2 linked regions of the Anolis sagrei genome follow. The protein of the gene in region 2 interacts with the protein of the main gene of each other region in a pairwise test. Links are inferred from orthologs where the notes say so. Each region holds a gene or a part of one and is shown on either strand. Other genes may lie near its edges.

Region 1 (7,954 bases), on a different chromosome or scaffold from region 2:
AAAAGATGTGTACCATCAGAGCCAGCTACTTTAGCACAATAGAAGGTGTAAATAAAGCAGTCAGACACCGTTGTATAATGGCAACAGAATCATGGGAGCTTCAATTTTCCAAGGTCTTTCAACTTCTTTGTTAAAGAGTACTGGTGTCCCCTACTCCCAGGATTTCATAACCTTGAACTATGGCAGTTATAGTGGTGTTAAGATGCATTAATTCTACAGAACAGGTGCACCTAGATCTCTTAGCAGGGTCTTCTTCTCTGCAAAGCTGAGCAGGAAACACCGAGTCTTTACAAACCACAGAACCAAGCTGTGCCCTATCTATTCCCTCTTGAAGCAACTAAAGGACCCACAGTTTCATGTGGGTCCTCAGAATATATTCATCTACTGCCATTTGATACCTCTTTAATTGCCATGGCTCAGTGTTATGGAAAGATAAGAGCTGTAGTTTTACAAGGACTTTAACCTTCTCTGCCAAATAGCCTCAGTTCCTCGGCAAACTACAACTGCCTTGATTCCATAACAGTTAAAAGTAGTGTTGAGCTGTATTACTATCCAACTTATAATTGTACATTTTATCAGCATTGGTGTTTTAATCTTTGCTCTATGATTTTTAGCACTTTTTTTTACAATTGTTTCATCAATGTATCTTGTGCCCTGCATCAATCCGTGAAGAGAGCCGGGTAACAAACAACATTTAATTATATATAATAATTAAATATATTAATTTTATTATGTATAATATGTATATTATTTATTATACAATAAATATATTATTAATAATAATGTTATTTGTTATATATAACACATTATAACATTAAATAACAGAGGTGGATAACATTTAGTATTATTAATTATAATAATATAATATATTTATCTTATATATAATGTACTTAGAATATATTATTAATAATGGTATTTGTAATTTATTATAATGTATAACACTGTATCTATATAAATAAAAATGTAATGTGGGATTTTGTTGTTCATTTGTTCAGTCGTTTCCGACTCTTTGTGACCTCATGGACCAGCCCACCCCCAGCTCCTTCAAGGTCAATCCAGTCACTTCAAGGATGTCATCCATCCATCTTGCCCTTGGTTGGCCCCTCTTCCTTTTTCCTTCCATTTTCCCCAGCATAATTGTCTGTGGGATTAACCTAACTCAAAAGCCACTGGGCGAATTGACACCAAATTTGAACACAATACAAGTATCAGGCCAACAAGTGACCATCACTCATAAAAACATTGAAAAACACAGCGGAAGAGACTTAAAAAGCCAAAAATAAAAAATAAATTACAACGCATGCGCAAAACCACATATATACAAACAGACTGGGCCACAGCAACGCGTGGCAGGGGATGGCTAGTAATATATATAATATAATATCAGGATTCAAATGGCTGGCAGGCCTGGAGGGCCTTTGGGTGCATTCACAGTGTAGATTTATTATTAATATATCACAATATTATTAATAGTGATTTATGTACTTATTATTTATATGTCATATTTATTATTATTATTTATTTAGGAGCCCCTGGTGCCACAGTGGGTTAAAGTGCTGAGCTTGTTGACCGAAAGGTCACAGGCTCGAATCCTGGGAGCTGTGTGAGCTTCTGCTGTCAGCCCCAGCTTCTGCCAACCTAGCAGTTCGAAAACATGCAAATGTGAGATCAATAGGTATTGCTCCATCGGGAAAGTAACGGTGTTCCATGCAGTTATGCCGGCCACATGACCTTGGAGGTGTCTATGGACAATGCCGGCTCCTTGGCTTAGAAATGGAGATGAGCACTACATCCCAGAGTCGGACGCGACCGGACTGCATGTCAGGGGAAAACCTTTACCAACCTATATGTCATCATTTATATTATTTATATGTTATGATTTATATTAATATATATTAAAGTATTTATATTATTTGGTTTATATATCAATAATGATGATGATATATTAGTAGTAATGCTACAGTGTGAATGCACCCAAAAGCCTTCCCTCAGTTTGAATCCTGATTACCGCCTTTATTTACGAATTTCTCTCAGGCCCCTTCCACACAGCTGAATAAAATCCCACATTATGCTCTGAACTGGAATATATGGCAATGTGGACTCAGATAACCCAGTTCAAAGAAGATATTGTGGGATTTTCCGCCTTGATATTCTGGGATAGAGGGCTGTGTGGAAGGGCCCTCAGTTTTAGCATGGGGAATCCTTTATTTCTCTCAGGCCCCTTCCACACAGCTGAATAAAATCCCATATTATGCTCTGAACTGTGTGGACTCAGGCAGGAAGACACAATTCAATCTCTCCTGACAGATGGCCATCCAGCCCCTGCTTAAAGACCTTCAGAGAAGGAGACAGACAGATAAATAAATAGAATCCTAGAGTTGCAGTGTGGACTCAGATGACCCAGTTCAAAGCAGGTATTCTGTGATATTATGCTGTGTGGAAGGGCTCTTAGAGGAGAAGAAATAAAAGGCCTAAAAAAGCCCTTCCCACCCTTTAGCTGAAGGAGTTCATGAAGGCCAGGGCCCCCAGGACTTTTCCCTTCATCGCTCCGCACCTTCCTGCGAATCTCCTTCTCGCCTGTGATGCCGCCTCTCTTCTGCTGCTGGCTCTGGCTCATTCTCCCTTCGATGCTCATTCTCTCCTTCCGTGCGCTTCTGCCGGCGTCCAAATGCCAACTGCCTCCTCTCGCTCCGGGGGCCGGGTAGACGTTCGAGCGCGCGCCGCATGACGCAACTCTTGCGCCACGCCGGACCAATCACCGTCGCCGCTTCTTTTCATCCAATGGCCGTCGTCGCCGTCGCCTTCTGGCCCCGCCTCCGCCTGGACTCTTTTTTTTTTTCTTCCTCCCAGCGGGAGTGAGGTGGAAGCTGCCGCGTCGCTCCCGGAAGTGACTTCTCCTCAAGCTCCTCCCTTTTTCTCCCCGCCCTTTCAGGGTCACGAGTCTGGAAGGGGGTGAGTCATGCGAGGAGGGTGATGCAACGGCCTGGCAACCCGAGGCCCGGGCCCTGACCTTGGCCACCCGCCACACTCGCTTGAACGGACCTTCGTGGCTTCTCCTACCTCCCCCACCCCACTGTTTCCGCGGTTTGGAGGCCCAGTTAGCGCGACTGAAGGGGGACTAGGCCTAGCTACGTTAGGAGAGGCCTTCCTTCGGAGAGGCTTTATGACGTCACGCCCCGCCCCACCTTGTGCGTTAAAGGGCCAGGCCTCCCTGGGGAAAGTGTGGCTGCGTTGGGGAGGGGGAGCAGCACTCCTGCCTCCTCAGATCCTGCATATCCAACAACCCATGGAGATGGCTTGTAGTGGTGTGCCTCCATGAAGTTATTGCAGTTTGACACCCTTTATTAGAGGTTTTTCAGGGGCAGACTGTATGTGGTTAATGCTGGAGCCACATCTTATCTATCTATATATAAATTCTCTGTGCATAATGAGTACCTTAAAAACAAAAGAACCAATGAACGAAATCACACCAAAGGAGTGACCATCACTCAAAAATTATGATTTTGTCATTTGGGAGTTGTAATTGCTGGGATTTATAGTTAACCTACAATCAAAGAGCATTCAGAACCCCACCAGCGATGGAATTGAACCAAACTTGGCACACAGGACTCCCATGACCAACAGAAAATATTGAAAGGGTTTGGTGGGCATTGACCTTGAATTTGGGAGTTATAGTTCACCTACATCCAGAGAGCACTGTGGACTCAAACGATGATGGATCTGAACCAACATGGCACAAGCACTCTATATACCCAAATATGAACACAGATGGAGTTTGGGGGAAATAGTTGTAGTCACTGGGATTCACAGTTCACCTACAATCAAAGAGCATTCTGAACCCTACAAATGACAGAATCGAGGCAAACTTCCCACACAGAACCCCATGACCAACAGAAAATACTTAAGGCTATCCAATCCAACTCCCTTCATCAGGGCAAGAAAACATAATCAAAGTCCTCCTTACAAAGAGCCATCCAGCCATAGATATAGATAGATAGATAGATAGATAGATAGATAGATAGATAGATAGATATGATTCACACACAGAGAGATCTAGTATCATAGATTTGAAAGGGACCCTTAAAGAAGGACAATGATATGTTGCATGTTCCTGGGTGGGCAAACCAGACACTGTCCACATCAACACTGACAAAGAAACAGCAAGAAATACTGTACCCACAAGCATAAAAAAATTACAAATATTGTAAACCAGCACTTTCTCATTATTTTCCAGATCAACAGACTGGGCCACAGCAACGCGTGACAGGGGACAGCTAGTTGCTTTATAATCCAGTTTCTGGGCCCTTCTGCACAGCCCTATATCCCAGAATATTAAGGCAGAAAATAATAATAATAATAATAATAATAATAATAATAATCTTTATTTATACCCCGCTACCATCTCTCCAAGGGACTCCGTGCGGCTTACATGAGGCCAAGCCCACAGTACATCAATAACAACAGCAATAACAAAAACAATACAATCCAATTAATATAAATCACATAAACAATAAACAGTAACACGCAAGCATTTGAAAACCAATGGCCGGGCCAAATGTAATAATTTAAAATTTAAAAAATAATGCTGGGCATGAACAAGGTAAGATATAACTGGGATAGGGTTTTCAAAAAGAGATGAGGGAACGCAATCAGTCCTAAATCAGTGGCAAAGTGCATTTTGAGGGCATATTGCTGAGAGTTTTCCTTATTCTGGGAAGGCACACTGGAACAACCACGTTTTCAGGCTCCTCCTAAAGACTGCCAGAGTTGGGGCATGTCTGAGGTCCTTGGGAATGAGTTCCAGAGTCGGGGGGCCACCACCGAGAAGGCCCTCCCCCTCACCAATCGTGCCTGCGAAGGAGGTGGGAGCGCAAGCAGGGCTCTCCAGATGATCAAAGAGATCGTGTGGGTTCGTACACAGAAATGCAGTCACGCAGGTAGGTGGGTCCCAAACCGTTCAGGGCTTTGTAGGTAAGAACCTGCACCTTGAATTAGGACCGGAAAATGAACGGCAGCCAGTGGAGCTCCTTAAACAGGAAGGTTGACTGCTCTGTAAGAAGCACCAGTTAGTAACCTGGCTGCCACCCGTTGTACCAATTGAAATTTCTGGGCCGATTTCAAGGGCAGCCCCACGTAGAGTGCATTACAGTAATCCAACAAACCAAAAATCCCACAAACCAAAACAGTTGTATTGCATCAAAAACAAACAAACAAAACACAAAGTTTGCAGACTTGGTATTCTATTAAATGTCCTTTGACCATTGGAGTGCCTCTGGTGTTGCTGCAAGAAGGTCCTCCATTGTGAATGTGGCAGGGCTCAGGTTGCATTGCAGCAGGTGGTCTGTGGTTTGCTCTTCTCCACACTCGCATGTCGTGGATTTCACTTTGTAGCCTCATTCCTTAAGGTTGGCTCTGCTTTTAACTGGGTTATCAGAGTCCACACTCAGATCATGTGGGATTTTCTGCCTTGATATTCTGGGATATAAGGCTGTGTGGGAGGGCCATAGGAATCCAGATTATCTGCTTTGAATATGATTATTTAATAAGAATAATAGAATCTTTGAGTTGGAGGAGATCTCGTGGGCTATCCAGGCCAACCCCCTGCCAAGAAGCAGGAACACTGCATTCAAAGCACCCCTGACAGATGGCCATCCAGCCTCTGTTTGACTATTAATAATTAAATTGTTACAATTATTAATAATAATATTTTTTCATAGCTCTCTTAATGGCTCAAGGCGGGTTACAAAACAATTAAAATACATAAGCACAGCAAAACACTATAGATACACACACACTAAAACTTACCTCCATAACAGTTACGAACCAAAACGTATCTCTATGAAATACATATTAAAACACAATACCAATTAAACAAAGGGCATGCATTAAAATTCATATTTATGTTTAAAGGCAGTCTGGGAAGGCCTGTCGGAAGAGACAGGTCTTCATTTGTGCCTTAAATTCCAAAAGCAGATTTAGCTGTTGGAGCTCTACCGGCAGATCATTCCACAATCTTGGGGCGGCCAATGAAAAGGTCCCCTGAGTGACAGCCGCTAGTCAGGTTCTGGCTGGTTGGAGCAGACGCCCCCTAGAAGACCAAAGTGTGTAAGGCGGATTGTATGGGAGAAGGCAATCCTTTAGGTAACCTGGACCCAAACCATGTAGGGCTTTAAAGGTCAAAACCATACCTTTATACTTGGCCCGGAAACGAATTGGCAGCCAGTGGAGTGACTTTAGGATAGGTGTAATATGCACACTCCTAGATGATCCGTAACCTGGCTGCCGCATTTTGAACCAGTTGAAGTTTCCAAACTTGGTACAAGGGTAACCCAGTGTTAAGTACATTGCAGAAGTCCAACCTTGAGGTTACCAGTGCGTGCACTACCATCTTCAGGTCCTCCAAATCTAGGAAGGGGTGGTGCTGGCGGTTCAACCGAAGCTGATAGTGAGCACTCCTGACTATTGCATCTACCTAGGCTGACATTTGGAGAGAGAGATCCAGGAGTACTCTTGAGCTGTGAACACAGTAATTCAGGGGAGTGTAACCCCATCCAGAACTGGTTGACACCTCCCCACCCCCAGATCAGGATCTTTGATGGCAAGCACCTCTGTTTTGCTGGATTCAGTTTCAGTTTGTTTTTCCTCATCCAGCCCATTACCTCTCCAGGCATTCATTCAGGGGAGGCATGCTATTCTTAGCTAAAGCTGTTTTTAAAGGCATGGAAAAATATTTTTGGGTGTCATCAGTATACCGATAACACCCTATCCTGTTCCTACAGATTATCTCTCCCAGAAGCTTCATGTAAATATTAAAGAGCATTGGGGATAGAATGGTACCTTGTGGAACACCACATAACAGTTCCATGCTGAGTCCACAGTGCCATATAATCCAGTTCAAAGCACATAATCTGGGTTCAGAAACTGGATTACATGGCAGTGTAGATGGGGACTCACTCAAGGTCATTTGATAGGTTTCCAAAAAGCTATGCCATGCTTGGGACCCAAGCCCAATCACGAGATACATGTATGTCTCAAATGCACCTTAAACATGTAGCCTCAGTTTAATTTTCTACACAATACTTTTCATGAAGCAAAGTTTGTGGGTACTGAACCATCAAAAAGCAAAGGTGTCATTATTCATTGGCCTTTCCACACAGCCATATAACCCAGAATAATATCAAGGCAGATAATCCACTGTATTTGCTTTGAATTGGGTTATTTGAGTCCACACTACCATATAACCCAGTTCTGTGTGGATTTTATATAGCAGTGTGGAAAGGGTCTGAGCCACCCATCAACAATTCAGGATTTTGGAGTGATTCTGATTTCTCTCTGAGGCATGTGTGAATGTTACAATTGGCCACCTTGATTAGCATTTAATGGCTTTGCAGCTTCAAAGCCTGGCTGGTTGCTCCCAGGTATCCTTTGTTGGGAGGTGTTAACTGGCCCTAATTTATTCTTTTCTGGAATTCCCCTTTAGAGTGTTGCTCTTTATTCTCAAACAGACAAGAGTTGTTTCTCCTATCCTGGACATTCCACAGATATATAAACCTCACTTCCTTGTTTCCAACAGACCTCCCAATCTCTGAGGATGCCTGTCACAGATGTGGGCGAAATTTCAGGAGAGAATCCTTCTGGAACATGGCCATACAGCCCAGAAAACTCACAGCAACCTAATGATTCTGGCCATGAAAGCCTTCTACAAGACATATGCAAGATTCTCCTGCAGCCTGAATGTATCCATGATGTGGGCCTCAAACTCGTGCGCCAGTTGCGACCTTACCTCATGAAGCCACCCAAATACCTGGGAGTAACTCTGGACCGTGCTCTTACCTACAAGAAGCACTGCCTGAACATCAAGCAAAAAGTGGGTGCTAGAAACAATATCATACGAAAGCTGACTGGCACAACCTGGGGATCACAACCAGACACAGTGAAGACATCTGCCCTTGCG
Region 2 (7,074 bases):
TTGGGATACAGGGCTGTGTGGAAGGGCCTTGGGAGTTCAAGGATCTCATCCAGCAGTAGAAGTATTGGGAATTGTAGTTTAACAAGGTCTCCAGCATGCCGGTGTCCCACCAAACTACAACCTCCATGATTCCACAGCACAGAATCCTAGAGTTGGAAGAGACCTAATGGGCTAACCAGTGCAATCCCCTGGCAAGAAGCAGGAAAATCGCATTCAAAGCACTCCCAGTAGATGGCCATCCCGCCTCTGCTTAAAAACCTCCAGAGGAGAGTCCACTACCCTCCGAGGAATCAGCATAGTCCACTGGGGGCCTTTCCACACATCCCTACATGCCAGAATAGCAAGGCAGAAAATCCCACAATACCTGTTTTGAACTGGGTTATCTGAGAGCCCTTTCACATAACCCTATATCCCAGAATATCTGAGTGTGGACTCAGATAGCCCAATTCAAAGTAGATACCGTGGGATTTTCTGCCTTGATATTCTGGGATATAGGGCTGTGTGGAAGGGCCCTGGGAGTTCAAGGATCCCACCGAGCAGCAGAAACATTGGGAATTATAGTTTGACAAGGTCTCCAGAGCAGCGGTGCCCTGCAAAACTGCAACCCCCACAATTCTACAGCATAGAATTATAGAGTTGGAAGAGACCTTGTGGGTCATCCAGTCCAACCCCCTGCCGAGAAGCAGGAAAATCGCATTCAAAGCACCCCCGACAGATGGCCATCCAGCCTCTGTTTAATAGCCTCCAAAGAAGGAGCCTCCACCACACTTCGGGGTAGAGAGTTCCACTGCTGAACAGCTCTCACAGTTAGGAGGTTCTTCCTAATGTTCAGGTGTAATCTCCTTTCTTGTAATTTGAAACCATTGTTCCTCGTCCTAGTCTCCAGGGCAGCAGAAAACAAGCCTGCTCCCTCCTCCCTATGACTTCCCCTCATATATTTATACATGGCCATCATGTCTCCTCTCAGCCTTCTCTTCTTCAGGCTAAACATGCCCAGCACTTTAAGCTGCTCCTCATAGGACTTGTTCTCCAGACCCCTGATCATTTTAGTGGCCCTTCTCTGAACACATTCCTGGTTATCAACATCTCCCTTCAATTGCGGTGCCCAAAACTGGACACAGTATTCCAGGTGTGGTCTGACCAAGGCAGAATATAGCCCTTCCTGTAGTTTTTGCCAGTTGCTTGAGAGTTCTGGTTAATTAGAGTCCACTATAGAACTATATTGTCAGATTATTATTATTATTCCATTATGTTCTTCCCCTAAAGGAGATTTAAAGCAGCTCAAACAACACTAAAAAGAATAAAATGTAAAACCTGCAAAATATAAGCACTAGGCTGCTATGAATTTTCCAGGCTGTATCGCCATGTTCCAGAAGCATCCTCTCCTGAAGTTTCGCACTCACATCTATGGCAGGCATGCTTAGAGGCCGAGATGTCTGTTGGAAAATAGGCAAGTGAGGTTAATATATCTGTTCAGGGTGGAAGAAAGAACTCTTGTCTGCTTGAGGCAAGTGTGAATGTTGCAATTGACCACTTTGATTAGCATTGAATGGCCTTGCAGCTTCAAAGCCTGCCTGGTTGCTGCCTGGGGGAATCCTTTATAAGAACTAAATTAGAAGTAAACATGGAACTGTTAACAATGACAGTGGTGCTTTCATGCTACAATGGAGAAGCGCCCTACAGTGTAGCTGCAGTTTAGGGCCCACCCTGGTATTAAAAAAAACCCTAGAGCTGGGTTGCTGTGAGTTCTCCAGACTGTATGTACATGTTCCAGAAGCTTTCTCTCCTGACTTTTCGCCTGCATCTATGACAGGCATCCTCGGAGGTTGTGCGGTCTTTTGGAAACTAGGCAAGTGGGGTTTATATTTCTGTGAAATGTCCAGGGTGGGAGAAGGAACTCTTGTCTGCTTGAGGCAAGTGTGAATGTTGTAACTGATCACGCTGATTAGCACTGAATAGCCAGAGGACCCCCAACCTGGTCACGCAATGGGTTAAGCCCTTGTGCCAACAGGACTGAAGACAGGTTGGAGGTTTGAATCCAGGGAAAGCACGGATAAGCTCCCTTTGTCAGCTCCAGCTCCCTATGTGGAGACATGAGAGAAGCCTCCCACAAGGATAGTAAAACATCGGCAAGGATGTGTCCCCTGGGCAACATCCTTGCAGGTGGCCAATTTTCTCATACCAGAAGTGACTTGCAGTTTCTGAAGTTGCTCCTGTTATGGAAAAAAAGCACTAAATAGCCTTGCAGCTTCAAAGCTTGGCTGCTTACTGCCCGAGGGAAACCTTTGTTGGGAGGTGATTCGTTGGCCTTGACTGTTTCTTGTCTGGAATTCCTCTGTTTTTGAATGTTTCAGACAAGAAACAACAGAGCTAGTTAGCACTTCCCAACAAAGGATTCCCCCAGGCAGGAAGCAGCCATACCTTGAAACTAATCAAGGTGGCCAATTGCAACATTCACACTTGCCTCAAACAGACAAGAGTTCTTTCTCCCACCCTGGACATTCCACAGATATATAAACCCCACTTGTTTTGTTGAAGGCTTTCATGGCCAGAATCACTGGGTGGTTGTAAGTTTTTGGGCTGTATGTCCATGTTCCAGAAGCATTCTCTCCTGACCTTTCACCTGCATCTTTGGCAGGCATCCTCAGAGGTTGAACATGGCCACACAGCCTGAAAAACTTACAACAACTCAAACCCCACTTGCCTAGTTTCCAACAGACCTCACAACCTCTGAGGATGCCTGCCATAGATGTGGGTGAGATGTCAGGAGAGAATGCTTCTGGAACATGGCCATACGGCCCAGAAAACTCACTGCAACCCAATTTTTGACTCTGGAAAATGAATCAATCAGAGCCAGCTAACACCTCCCAACAAAAGATTCCCCCAGGCAGAAAGCAGCCAGACCTTGAAGCTGAAAGACTATTCCATTCACTATTCCATTCACTATTCAAAATCTGGCTACCAGTATTAAAAAAACTCTAAAATTACTACAGCAAAACAGCAGAGAGGAAACAACCAGGCACATCTCAACACTTCTCAACAGAACATTGTCCCAGGCTCTGCCAGGCCTTCAAATGCTAATGAAGGTGGTCAGCTGAAACATTCACACCTAGCTTCAGCAGAGAGTCCTTTGCCCCACCCTGGTCATTCCACAGATATATAAACCCATTTCCCTACTTCCAACAGACCTCACTACCTCTGAGGATGCTTGCCATAGATGCAGGTGAAACGTCAGGAGAAATGCCTCTAGAACATGGCCCTATAGCCCGAAAAAACCTACAAGAACCTATTCTATTCACACTTGCCTCCAACGGACAAGAGTTCTTTCTCCCACCCTGGACATTCCACAGATAGATAGATAGATAGATAGATAGATATATCTGTGGAATGTCCAGTGTGTGTGTGTGTGTGTGTGTGTGTATACACACATACATACCCTGCTTGCCTAGTTTCCCACAGACCTCACAACCTATGAGGATGCCTGCCATAGATGCAGGCGAAACGTCAGGAGAGAATGCTTCAGGAACATGCCCAGGCAGCCCAGAAAACTCTCAGAAACCCACTGATTCCGGTCATGAAAGCCTTCGACAATAAACCCTAGAGATGGAAGAGACCACCACAAGGGCCCTTGACATGAATCGAGATCCAGCTTTGAAGGGAGGTGAAGCGGTTTCGGTCCGCTTTATGGGTGTTTTTGTGCCCCCTCCCCTCTCTCGCAGGGAATCCCTCGCGCGCCTGCCACGTCACTCTCGCCAAGGAAACCCGCGCTGGCGTCGCGCGACGCAAATGCCCATCTTTGGCCAGGAGGGCCTGCGACAATGGAAGAGACCAAAGTGTCCAAGTGTGGGGGTGGCGGGAGAGAAGGATGGGGCTCTCAGTCTGGACGAGACCATGCAAGCTCCGTGTCACTTCGGGGTGGGGCAGCGAGGGAGCAAATGGACTGCGCCGCTGGGCTGAAAGAGGCAGAATGGTTGCGCCCTCTCTCTCTCTCCTTTCCCCTCCTCTTCCCTCCCTTTTCCAAAAATGGGAGGTTCCGCGTTGCGTCAGAGAAGAGGGGGGCGTGGCCTCCAAAAAGCCTCCTGGCTTGACGTTTGGCGAATCCACATGGTCTTAGAAGAGGCGAGCTTCCGAGGCAGAGCTCGGAGGAAGGATGGCAGGAGCCCCGAGAGCCCGGGCTTGAACTCACCCCTGACTCACTTCGGGAAAAGGAGGAGAGGAAGAGGAGGGAAGGGGAGAGCAAGGCAGGAAGTCGGGAGAGAGAGAGAGAGAGATCTATCTAGTGCCTATCTATCTGTCTCTATAACTCAGAAGAGCATTGTTGTCAAAACCCAACAAATAACGCGCTTCCGATGTGAGGCTAGTTGAGTCACCTCGGAGCAGGAAGCCGGCACTTTTCTCCCGCTTTAATTATACAGGAGGCGAAGATCGCCCTTGATTTAAAATACAGGAAGCAGAGCGAGAGAGAGAATAGAAGGAAGGAAGGGAGGGAGGGAAAGAAGCCTTTCAAAAAGCAACCGCATCTCCATGAATTAGTTCTAAGGGTTGGGGATAGGCTGGCATTGGGCTGTCTTTAAAGGGGAAGCACAAGGAAAGGGCTCTCCAAGGAGCCAAAGGGGAAGAGGGGGAGCCAAGGCTGAGCCTGGCCTTGGAGGGTCCGGGAAGAAGGGAAGGGAGTCGAGGCGGGGCCCGGGAAGGGGGGCGCCTCCTCGGACCATGTACCAGGACTTTCCCGGCAGCTTCGACACCTCCTCCCGGGGCAGCAGCGGGTCGCCAGGCCATCCGGACACCTATCCCGGCCTCGCCACGCAACAGGTAAGACCTTTGCCTTTCTTTTTTCTTCTTGCCTTCCTTTTCTTCTTCTTCCCTAATGTAAACTCCTTCCTTTCCTTCCTTCCTTCCTTCCTTCTTCCATCTTTCCTTCTTTCTTTCTTTCCTTCCTTCCTTCCTCCCTTCCTTCCTTCCTTCGTTCTTCAGTCTTGCTTTCCTTCCTTCCTTCTTCAGTCTTTCTTTCCTTCCTTCTTCGATCTTTCCTTCCTTCCTTCCTTTCTTTCTTCGGTCTTTCTTTCTTTCTTTCTTTCTTTACTTCCTTCTTTCCTTCCTTTTCTTTCTTTTCCTTCCTTCCTTCTTTCCTTTCATCCTTCCTTCCTTCCCTCGTCACTCTTTTCCTTCTTCCCGGTTCACTCTTGCCTTCCTTCCAACGTCACCCCTGCCTTCCTTCTATCTTCCTGTAGTTTTTGCCGGTTGCTTGAGAGTTCCAGCTGAGAGTCAACTGTAGAACTATATTGTAGATGATGATGATGATGATTATTGTATTGTCAAAGGATTTCATGGCCGGAATCACTGGGTTGTTGTGAGTTTTCCGGGCTGTATGGCCATGTTTCCAGAAGCATTCTCTCCTGACGTTTCGCCTGCATCTATGGGCGACCTCACAACCTCTGAGGATGCTTGCCATAGATGCAAGCAAAACATCTGGAGAGATTGCTTCCGGAACATGGCCCTACAGCAACTTATTATTATTATTAGTATTATTATTACATTCTTCGAGTTTCTGAGAGTTTTTTGGGCTGCCTGGCCATGTTCCTGAAGCATTCTCTCCTGACGTTTTGCCTGAATCTATAGCAGGCATCCTCAGAGGTTGTGAGGTCTGTGGGAAACTAGGCAAGTGAGGTTTATATATATCTGTGGAATGTCAAGGAGGCAAGTGTGGAATAGTCTTTCAGCTTCAAGGTCTGGCTGCCTGGGGGAATCTTTTGTTGGGAGGTGTTAGCTGGCCCTGATTGATTCATTTTCCAGAGTCAAAAATTGGGTTGCGGTGAGTTTTCCGGGCTGTATGGCCATGTTCCAGAAGCATTCTCTCCTGACATCTCACCCACATCTATGGCAGGCATCCTCAGAAGTTGTGAGGTCTGTTGGAAACTAGGAAAGTGAGGTTTATCAATCTGTGGAATGTCCAGGGTGGGAGAAAGAACTCTTGCCTGCTTGAGGCGAGTGTGAATGCTGCAATTGGCCACCTTGATTCACATTGAATAGCCTTGCAGCTTCAAATCTTGGCGGCTTCTTTCTTCCTTTTTCTTTCTTCCACCCCTCTTAAACCCTTTTCTTGCCTCTCTCCCTCTTAACTCCTTCTTTCGCCTTAACTCAATTTTTTCCTCTTCACTTCTTCCTTCCTTCCCTCTTAATTAACTCTTCCCAACTTCTTTCTTTCCTCTTAGCTAGTTTATTTGCTCTTCATTGTTGCTTTCTTTCCTTCTTAACCCCCTTTCCCCCACTTTCTTGCCTCTTAGCTTTGTTTCCAGATTCCCCCTTTAGTCCTTCCTTTTCCTCTTAACATCTTCTTCCCGCTTAACTCTTTCTTCCCTCTGCTTTCTTTCTTTCCTTCCTTCCTTTTCTTTCCTTCCTTCCCTCTGCTTTCTTTTCTTTCTTTCTTTCTTTTCTTTCTTTCTTTCTTTCTTTCTTTCTTTCTTTCTTTCCTCCCTCCCTCCCTCCTTCCCTTCCTTCCTTCCCACTTCACTTCCCTTTAGAGCAGGCATGGGCAAACTTCAGCCCTCTAGGTGTTTTGGACTTCAACTCCCACCACTCCTTTTAACACCTTCTTCCCACTTAACTCTTTCTTCCCTCTGCTTTCTTTCTTTCCTTCCTTCCTTCCTTCCTTCCTTCCTTCCTTCCTTCCTTCCCTCTGCTTTCTTTCTTTCTTTCTTTCTTTTCTTTCTTCCTTTCTTTCCTTTCCTTCCTTCCCTCTGCTTCTTTCTTTCTTTCTTTCTTTCTTTCTGTATATCCCTTCCTTCCTTCCTTCACCTTGGCTTCTTCCTTCCTTCCTTCCTTTCCTTCCTTCTCCTTGCTTTCTTTCTTCCCTTCCTTCCTTCCCTTTCCTTCCTTCTGCTATCTTTCTTTTCTTTCGTTCTTTCCTTCCTTCCTTTCCAATTCACTTCACTTCCTTTTAGAGCAGACATGGGCCAATTTGGGCCCTCCAGGTGTTTTGAACTCCAACTCCCACCATTCCTAACAGCCTCAGGCCCTCCCCCTCCCCCGCCCGCTTCAGCCGCTTAAGGGACCTGAGGCTATTAGGGATGGTGG

What was found. The genes of interacting proteins can lie anywhere in the genome.
Region 1: the proteins of FOSL2 (region 2) and DDIT3 interact in binary tests that used the Homo sapiens proteins (3 or more experiments, as listed by UniProt). The two-hybrid records come from large-scale screens. The link is inferred for Anolis sagrei from reciprocal best matches to the Homo sapiens genes FOSL2 and DDIT3.

What each region holds. Positions count from the first base shown.
Region 1 is NC_090022.1:185,996,859-186,004,812, forward strand, and holds the start of DDIT3 (DNA damage-inducible transcript 3 protein), read right to left. Parts: upstream 3,005-7,954; 5' UTR 2,491-3,004; intron 1-2,490. UniProt on the Homo sapiens protein: Multifunctional transcription factor in endoplasmic reticulum (ER) stress response. Plays an essential role in the response to a wide variety of cell stresses and induces cell cycle arrest and apoptosis in response to ER stress.
Region 2 is NC_090021.1:43,099,413-43,106,486, reverse strand, and holds the start of FOSL2 (fos-related antigen 2), read left to right. Parts: upstream 1-4,073; 5' UTR 4,074-4,713; coding exon 4,714-4,812; intron 4,813-7,074.